Linked DNA regions of Struthio camelus. The protein of the gene in region 2 interacts with the protein of the main gene of each other region in a pairwise test. Links are inferred from orthologs where the notes say so. Each region holds a gene or a part of one and is shown on either strand. Other genes may lie near its edges.

The links.
Region 1: the proteins of NUDT18 (region 2) and NADK interact in a two-hybrid assay, tested with the Homo sapiens proteins (2 studies listed by BioGRID and IntAct). The two-hybrid records come from large-scale screens. The link is inferred for Struthio camelus from reciprocal best matches to the Homo sapiens genes NUDT18 and NADK.

The regions. Positions count from the first base shown.
Region 1 is NC_090962.1:3,140,800-3,144,706, forward strand, and holds the start of NADK (NAD kinase), read left to right. Parts: upstream 1-958; 5' UTR 959-1,200; intron 1,201-3,829; exon of another isoform or gene 3,830-3,907.
Region 2 is NC_090968.1:5,558,237-5,562,143, forward strand, and holds the start of NUDT18 (8-oxo-dGDP phosphatase NUDT18), read left to right. Parts: upstream 1-882; 5' UTR 883-998; intron 999-2,366; 5' UTR 2,367-2,606; coding exon 2,607-2,762; intron 2,763-2,864; coding exon 2,865-3,078; intron 3,079-3,287; coding exon 3,288-3,877; 3' UTR 3,878-3,884; intron 3,885-3,907. UniProt on the Homo sapiens protein: Mediates the hydrolysis of oxidized nucleoside diphosphate derivatives. Hydrolyzes 8-oxo-7,8-dihydroguanine (8-oxo-Gua)-containing deoxyribo- and ribonucleoside diphosphates to the monophosphates. Hydrolyzes 8-oxo-dGDP and 8-oxo-GDP with the same efficiencies.

The DNA.
Region 1 (3,907 bases), on a different chromosome or scaffold from region 2:
TCAGAATACTCAATTCAAAATGAACAGGTGGAAGCAGGTCCAAGCAACTATTAAAATCAAATGCTTTTCTGTTTTATTTTTACTCTTGCTCAAAATTCGGTTTCAAATCAAGGACAGACCGGAGGATAGCTGCTTGCATATCAGGATCCTTTGCTTACAGTTGTGATGAGAAGGATTCAAATACAGTAAGGTGACATGCATTCCCAAACAGGAATTTTATAGCAGAAAATATTTAAATGATGTTCATTGCATCCCAGATACATCTGGGACAGATCTAAAATGTGTTATAACTTGTGATTGGTTAGCTTAGAAATGACTGCAGAGGTGAGAGCATTATTATACATAAACCAAAAACAGAGCAGTGCAAAACTTTGCCTTGAGAAGTTGACAGTTTAATTTGAGGATTTAATTAATCATCCTTAATAGAAACATCACTCGGTCAATGATGGTATGACGGATTTTGCAGCTGACATTCAGGTGTCATGCCTATTTCTTAACATTTGGTCCCTTCTGCTTTTTGCAGCCTTTGTGGAGACTAATTCGTTACAGATATTTTTCCAATTCAAACTAACAAGGAAGTCATTTATCGGGTAGTGAAAATGAAAGAAACGTATTGGCCCCTCCACATGGGTTCATCACCATATAGGACAGCTACTCTGCTTGCCGACAGTAGGATCCACTGGTTTGGAGAGCTGCAAACCTAGATGGCTGAGGCAGGCCTGAATGTTGCCCTGTTCAGCAGGCCCCATCTTAAGCGCGCAGTGACAACCTTTTAGGGCAGAAGGGTTCTTGGGGCCCTCCAAGCAAGGCCGCACCCCACCGCCCCCCTCTCCTGCGGGCGTAGCCCGCCCATGCGCAGTGACGCGCCCCTTTGCCCTAGCGGCCGGCCGAGTTGGCGCAGGCGTGCAGCGACGCCCGCCGGGGCTCCGGAAGGGCGGGCTGCGCAGGCGTTCAGACGGAGGGCCGTCCCGGCCCTGGAGGGCCGTTCGCTCGCGCATGCGCGCTGCCCCGCCTCTGGGGCCGACTCTCCTGAGGAGGCGGGGAGAGGACGATGGAGGCGCGCAGGGTCCGCCGGCTCCGCTCACTGCACGGGAGCAGACGCTGCCGCCGCCACCACCACCACCGTCGGGGTTGGCGCGCCGGCCTCTGAAGGCGCAGGGGCGGGAGGCTTCGCCCGGCCCTGAAGCAGCCCGTGGCGCGGTGAGTCGGGGGCCGCCTGGGCCCTGAGGCAGAGGTGGGGGGCGGCTCCTGCGAGGGGAGTCCGGAGCGGCCTCCTGCGGGGGCTGCGCAGCATCCCGCGGCGCTGGGGCCGGGTGCGGAGCGGCCGTGCCGGGGCCGGCCGGGTGCTCGTGGCCCGAGCGCCAGCGCGGGGGCGGGCGGGGAGCCGCGGCGGCGCCTGCCTCCCGGACTGCTGCCGCCGCTCGCGGGAGCTGGCCTGGTGCGGCTTCTTTGCCCGCGCCGGAGGGCAGATCGTATCCGGCGGCTCTCGGGAACCTGAGAGAGCTGTTGGTGAGCCTGCGGGCTGTCTTCCTTTGGGACAAACGGACTCGCGGGTAACTTCTTGCAAACCCGGGAGAACAGTTCAACCGGAGTAAGCTGTAGACGCGCCCTAGTAACGTGAGCGATAAGGGGCAGTGAGGTAGGAGGATAGTTTCTCGAAAGGATAATGGGTAGAACAACTTAATTTGGCACGTGATCTGCTGACTACACATCAAATATGCAGCCCAGTTCATTTTTTGTTTCTTTGACATCTTCGTTCCAGACTAACACGGATAGGGATATATCTAGGAGTCTGAGTTTTTGGTTATTAATATCTGTTCCCTGGGGTTATAGTATGTTAAACATAGGTGCCTGTTGTGTTGATATTTCTGTAGCGGAAGGGTTAACACAGGGATTTGTTTTCCCTGGGCATTTAACACGTGATAGGCATGCTATCTGTTTTGTTTTTTAGTAGAAATAGCACTTCAGTATTTTGTAAGTATGTAATCAAAAAAGATGCCACAGAAATTCAGCTGGTGTCAAACAGCTAGACTTCAATGTGGTGTTTTTTGTTGTTTGTTTGGTTTTTTTTTTTTTTTGCTTCAGACACACTGCAACACAAAGTTCTAAACTACAACAAAGTCTTGTCTGCCTGATACAGTTGTTGCTGCTTTTTTGGTGAGAGAAGCTTTAGGGCCTTGTGGATGGAGTTATATGCATGTGTGCTCTATTGGAGTACTTTCTTGAGTAAAGTATAGTTTAAAAAAAAAATTGTTAGCAGAATGAAGTGAATACCATATAGAACAAATGAACAGGAGTCTGTGGCAATAGAGCAACTGGTACAGTTTCTGCATGTAACATTGTCCTCTTCTGCTCTAATACATTGTTGATAAGTTGCAAAATGAAGAGTTTTGAAAATTTTCTTAATTTTGAAGAAATTAGTGGAATAGCGGCAATCTTAAAGGCATGTTAAATGCAGTGTGTGTATTTGGTCAGGATGGACTCTGCAGTAATCCTCTAATCATAGTGAATTGGGAACATGCATTTGACAGAGAGGAAGCTTTGTTACAAAATAACTGCTTAAAAGCCTGCTCATCAAAAATGATTTAAACTCCTTAAATGCTCTTACTTGCAGCATTATGCTCCTTGTGTAACTGCTTCCATTGGAAGATCATATTTCTTTTTATCATTCAGTGTGATCAGAGGAGAAAAAGATTATCAAAGGTAGACCTGACAATATAAATTCATAATCATGGTCTAAACGCGATAGTAGAACTTCTGGGATGTTATGTTGTTTCCTTCCGTATAGGGATGATTTGAAGCCTCTGTGAAACATTGATTCATAGGAGTGTTCATTTATAATGATTAAGAAGCAGAAGATGTGATACTACAATAAAAAGGTGGATACGTATGAGAGAGGTGACTCGACTTGCTACTTTGGGACACTATCGTGGAAGTTTAATATGAAAGCGTTAGTCTTTCTCAACTCTTCTTCATTCTGTAACGCTAAACTTTTAAATCCTGTTGTTGTTAACTTTTGGTCATGACTTAGACAGGAGCAGCCTCTTCACTTGTTTTTTTGACGTGTGTCTAAAGTTTTTGGGTCCATTCCTGGATGTTGTGTTGATAAGGTTTTTGTTTTGTTTGGTTGGTTTTTTTCTTTTTCCAAATACCTGGTTTCTAAGTTGGATAATAAGACACAGTGAGCTGCAGTGGTTGTTTTTATCTGCCCCTTCCCCCACCTTTTCCAGTATATATATTTTTTTCTTATTCTGATTATGCATGAGGGGATGGCCTCTTCAGCTGGTGAAGAATTATCTCCACCTTTTTTTTTTTTTTTTGATAATTTTACAGAATGGAATGTATTAACTCATAGGCATTAACTTTGACTTGCTATAAGTATACTAGTTTTGGCTAGTGTTAGCTAAGAACATAGTAGTCCAGTAAAGACTTACAGACAGATCTGTTAATTCCTTAAAAATCAGAAAGATGGGTGATGAAGAACACAGAAGTCTAGGTGTATTAAGATACTGGAGAGGTTTGTGTGGGCCCTATAAGATGGACACATCAAACACAATGTTCTACTTGTCTTGATGATTTCCGGTTATAAAGAATAATCTTTGGATATACAGGCATAAATTAAGGCACTAGTTTTTTTAGGTATGTTGTTGATAGGCTTATGTGTTTTGATGGTACATGCAATTCAGGTGTGAGTTAGGTACAAATGGAAGGTGAATGAGTATCTAATTTTTTAACTTCCTTTATGTCTGTCCTTTAAAAATCTGTTGGATAAAATCCTCTTATTTAATTTTCAGAACTTAGAATTTTGGTTCTTTTTGTATTTTACCAGGAAAACTATTAATTAAAAATCCAGTTTGCATGTGAGGAAAAAAAAATTAAATGCTTGTTCAAGTCTAGGATCTCTAAA
Region 2 (3,907 bases):
AAACCCAGCTCTGCCCCAGCCCCAGGGCCTTGTGCATCTCCAGCATGATGCGTCTCTCTTCCCTTCCTGCAGTTCTCTCATCCTGCATCCCCTCTTTTTTCTCTTTGGCTCCCCTTTCCAAGGGAGAACCAAGGGCAGCCTGAGCCAGGGCCTCGGGGGCAGCGGGCAGCGGTGGCCGGCCGCAGGGGTGTGCAGATGCTGGGGTCTGGCCAGGGCTGCTGCTCCCTTGGGGTTTCCCAGGTGGCAGAGAGAGGACACAGCCCTCACCGGGGATTTCAGCATGGCGGGAGCCAGATGAGCTCCTGGCACTGCCGCTGCTGGCAGTTGGCTTGCAGCAGCATGACAAAGTGGGCCACGAGCAGCAGAGGGAGCTGGCTCAGGAGCACTGTCACAGCAGGGCTGGGTGCTGCAGGCACCACCGGGCTGGCTCCAGGGGTGCTCGAGGATGCTGGCAGCACCAGCAACGCTGCAGCTCCTCCGCAGCATGGAGCACTGCGACACGGGGAGGGGGGGGAAGCGCCCTGCTGTGTGCAGCAACCCCAAGGACCATCGCCTGGAGGTGCCCTGCGCTGCCCCGATGACAACAGGGACAGCGTGGAGCGTGCATGGTGCCCAGGCACCCAGCTGCATCCCTGCGCCCTGCATACTGCGCACTGCGCCCGAGGCCGCAGGCACGGTGCGCCGTGCAGCATGCAACACGCACCATGCAGCGCGCAGCGCATGCCGCCGCGCAACGGATGACGCCACGCACTGCGCAATAGGCGCCAATGCACCCTGCAACATGCGGCGCCACGCATGCGCAATACGCACCGCCAACCACGTCCAACCCACCTCCGGCCCCCTTAAGGCCTAGGCCCCGCCCTGTCGCCCTGAGGGAGGAGTGACGGCGGCACTGCCCAATGGAAAAGGAGCTCGGCGCTCGGAGCGGCCAATAGGCGGCGAGAGGGGCGAGCGGGCGGCCAGGCGACGGCGCGCGCGGCGGAGTCCCGGGACGCGCGGTGAGTCGGGGGCGGTGCGCGCTGCCCCGGCGCATGCGCGCGGCGGAGCCCCGAGGGGGAGGGGGGGCTGCAGGCGGCCCGCGAGCCCTCCCCGTTGCACCCTGCACCCCGAGCCCTTCCCCTGCTGCACCTCGCACCCCCGAGCTCTTCCCCTCTTGCACCTCCCTGTCCCCCCTGCATTCCCCCGAGCCCTTCCCCTATTGCACCCTCCCTGTGCACCCCGCAGTCCCCGAGCCCTTCCCCATTGCACCCTCTCCATGCACCCTGCAGTCCCCCAGCCCTTCCCCTAGTGCACCCTCCCTCTCCCCCCTTGCACCCTGCAGTCCTGCAAACCCTTCCCCTCTCTCGCCCTGCAGACCCCCAAAGCCCTCCCCTACTGCACCCTGCAGCCCAGCAAGCCCTCTCCCGCTGCGCCTCACTCTGCACCCTGTGCCCTAGCAAACCCCTCTCCTCTTCCACCCTGCAGTGCAGCGAGCCCTTTCCCCCTTGCACCCTGCAGCCTAGCACACCCCTTAGCACCCTGCAGTCCAGCACACCCTTCCCCTTTTGTACCCTGCAGTCTAGCAAACCCTTCCCCTACTGCATCCTGCAACCCAGCACGCCCCCCCACACCCCACATTCCCCCAAACCCTTCTCCCCAGGCACCCCACGCTCTGGCCAGCCCTTCCCCTATTGCACCCTGCAGTCCAGCCAACCCTGGCCCCCACAAGCTGGCGATTCCTTCCCTAGTTACAGCCCTCCGTGCACCCCACCGCCTGGCGAGCCCTTCCATTCCTACACCCCCCCAGGCATCCCCCAGTCTAGCCAAACCTTTCCGCCCTATATTTTCCAGTCTAGCAAACCCTATCCCCCCTACGTCCCCCAGCCTAGCAAACCCCTTCCTCCCTACATCTTCCAGTCGAGCAAACCTTTCTCTTATTACAGCTTCCCATGTATCCTGCAGTCGAGCCAGCCCTTCCCCTATCACGCCCCTCCATGCATCCCAAAGTCTAGTGAACTCTTTCCTTATAGCCCTCTATATGGCCTTCAGTCTAGCGAGCCCTTCCCCTACTGCCCGCCCCCCTGCATCCCCCAGTCCAGCAAGCCTTTCCTGTATCGTGCCCCTCCGTGCATCCCAAAGCCTGCTGACCCCTTCCCGTACTACTTCCCTCCGTACGGCCTGCAGTCCAGCCAGCCCTTCCCCTACTGCGCTCCCCTGGGCATCCCGCAGTCGAGCCAGCCCTTCCCGTATTGCACCCCTCCATGCATCGCGAAGGCTGGCGAGCTCTTCCCCTACTACCTCACTCCCTCCACCTTGCAGTCCAGCACACCCTTCCCGTATTTCAGGCCAGTGTGCATCCCCCAATCTAGCAAGCCCTTTCCCTGTAGCTCCCTGCAGCCTGGCGACCCCGTCCCGTATTGCACCTCGCCGAGGGACCCCTTCCCTTACTGCACCCTGCAGCCCAGCGAGGTGCCGCTCCGGGGCTCCCCTTGGTCTCCGTGCGCCCCCCGGGCCACCGCCGTCGCACCCCGCCTGCATGCCCTGCGGGTGCACTCGCCACCCCTGACCCTGGCGGCCCCGTGAGCCAGGCCAGGGGGCTCCCGGCAGCGTCGCCGGGCCGGAGCGCCATGGGGGAGGCGCCGGCGGCGGAGCTGGAGGCCGTGCTGAGCGGCGGAGGCTGGGACGTGGCCGAGAGGTACGACTGCTGCCCGCAGCCCGCCGGCCCCGCGCGGCTGCGCAGGAACGCCTGCTACGTCGTCCTGGCGGTGCTCTTCAACGAGCGGGTGAGAGCCCTGCGGCGGGAGCGGCGCCAGCCCCGCGCCCGGGGAAACTGAGGCAGCGCGAGGGGGGCGTGCGTCCTGCTCCCTCCCTCCCTCCCTCCACAGGACGAGGTGCTGCTGATGCAGGAGGCCAAGCCCGAGTGCCGGGGCAAGTGGTACCTGCCCGCCGGCAGGATGGAGCCCGGCGAGAGCATCGCGGCGGCCGTGCGGCGGGAGGTGCGGGAGGAGACGGGGCTGGAGTGCGAGCCGCTCACCCTGCTGGTGCTGGAGGAGCGAGGGCCGGCCTGGATCCGCTTCGTCTTCCTCGCGCGCCCCACCGGTATGTCCTTTTGGGGTGCGTGTGCTCGGCCCTAGCAAGCAGCAGGCTCATGCTCGCGCGTGGCGTGTCCCCTGCCAGCACCATGATGGCATATTGGTGTCACCTGCCAGTGTTGTGACAGGGTATTAGCATCCCCGCCAGTGCTGTGACGGGGTATCGGTGCCCCCTGCCAGCCCCGCGATGGGGTATCGCTGCCTCTCTCCCTGCAGGTGGGACCCTGAAGACGCTGCAGGACGCTGACGCCGAGTCCCTGCAGGCCACGTGGTGGGCCGGGGAGCCGTCCGCTCTGCCCCTGCGAGCCCCCGACATCCTGCCCTTGCTGGAGCTCGCCGCCCGCTACCGCCGCAGCCCCTCGCATCCCGCCACCCTGCCCCAGGAGCTGCCCTGCGCCCTCATCTGCTTGCGGCTCCTCGTGGCCTTCGCCAGCGACACTGGGGACCTGTGGGTGCTGCTGAGCACGGCCGGGACCCCCCACCTGCCCGTGACGGCCTGCGGCACGGCTGCCTCCGAGCCGCGCGGCGGGCTGCGCGCGCCGGTGCTCCGGCTGCTGCGGGACTGCCTGCCGCCGGCCGCGCCGAGTCCCGCGCTCCTGGGGCTGCTGGGGCTGCAGCACCGGGCTGCCGGCGCGGACGGCGTTTGCTTCAACGCCCTGCTGAGCGTGGCGGCCGGCCGCCCCGGCGCCGGCCCCCCCGAGCTGCGCAGCCCCGCTTTCCGCTGGTGGCGAGTGGAGGAGGAGGGCCTGAAGGGCAGGATCGCGCAGCGGCTTCGCGCGGCGGCCGTGGTGCCCGTCTACAGCTAGCTCCCAGGTGAGCTGCGAGGGTTTGGGTGG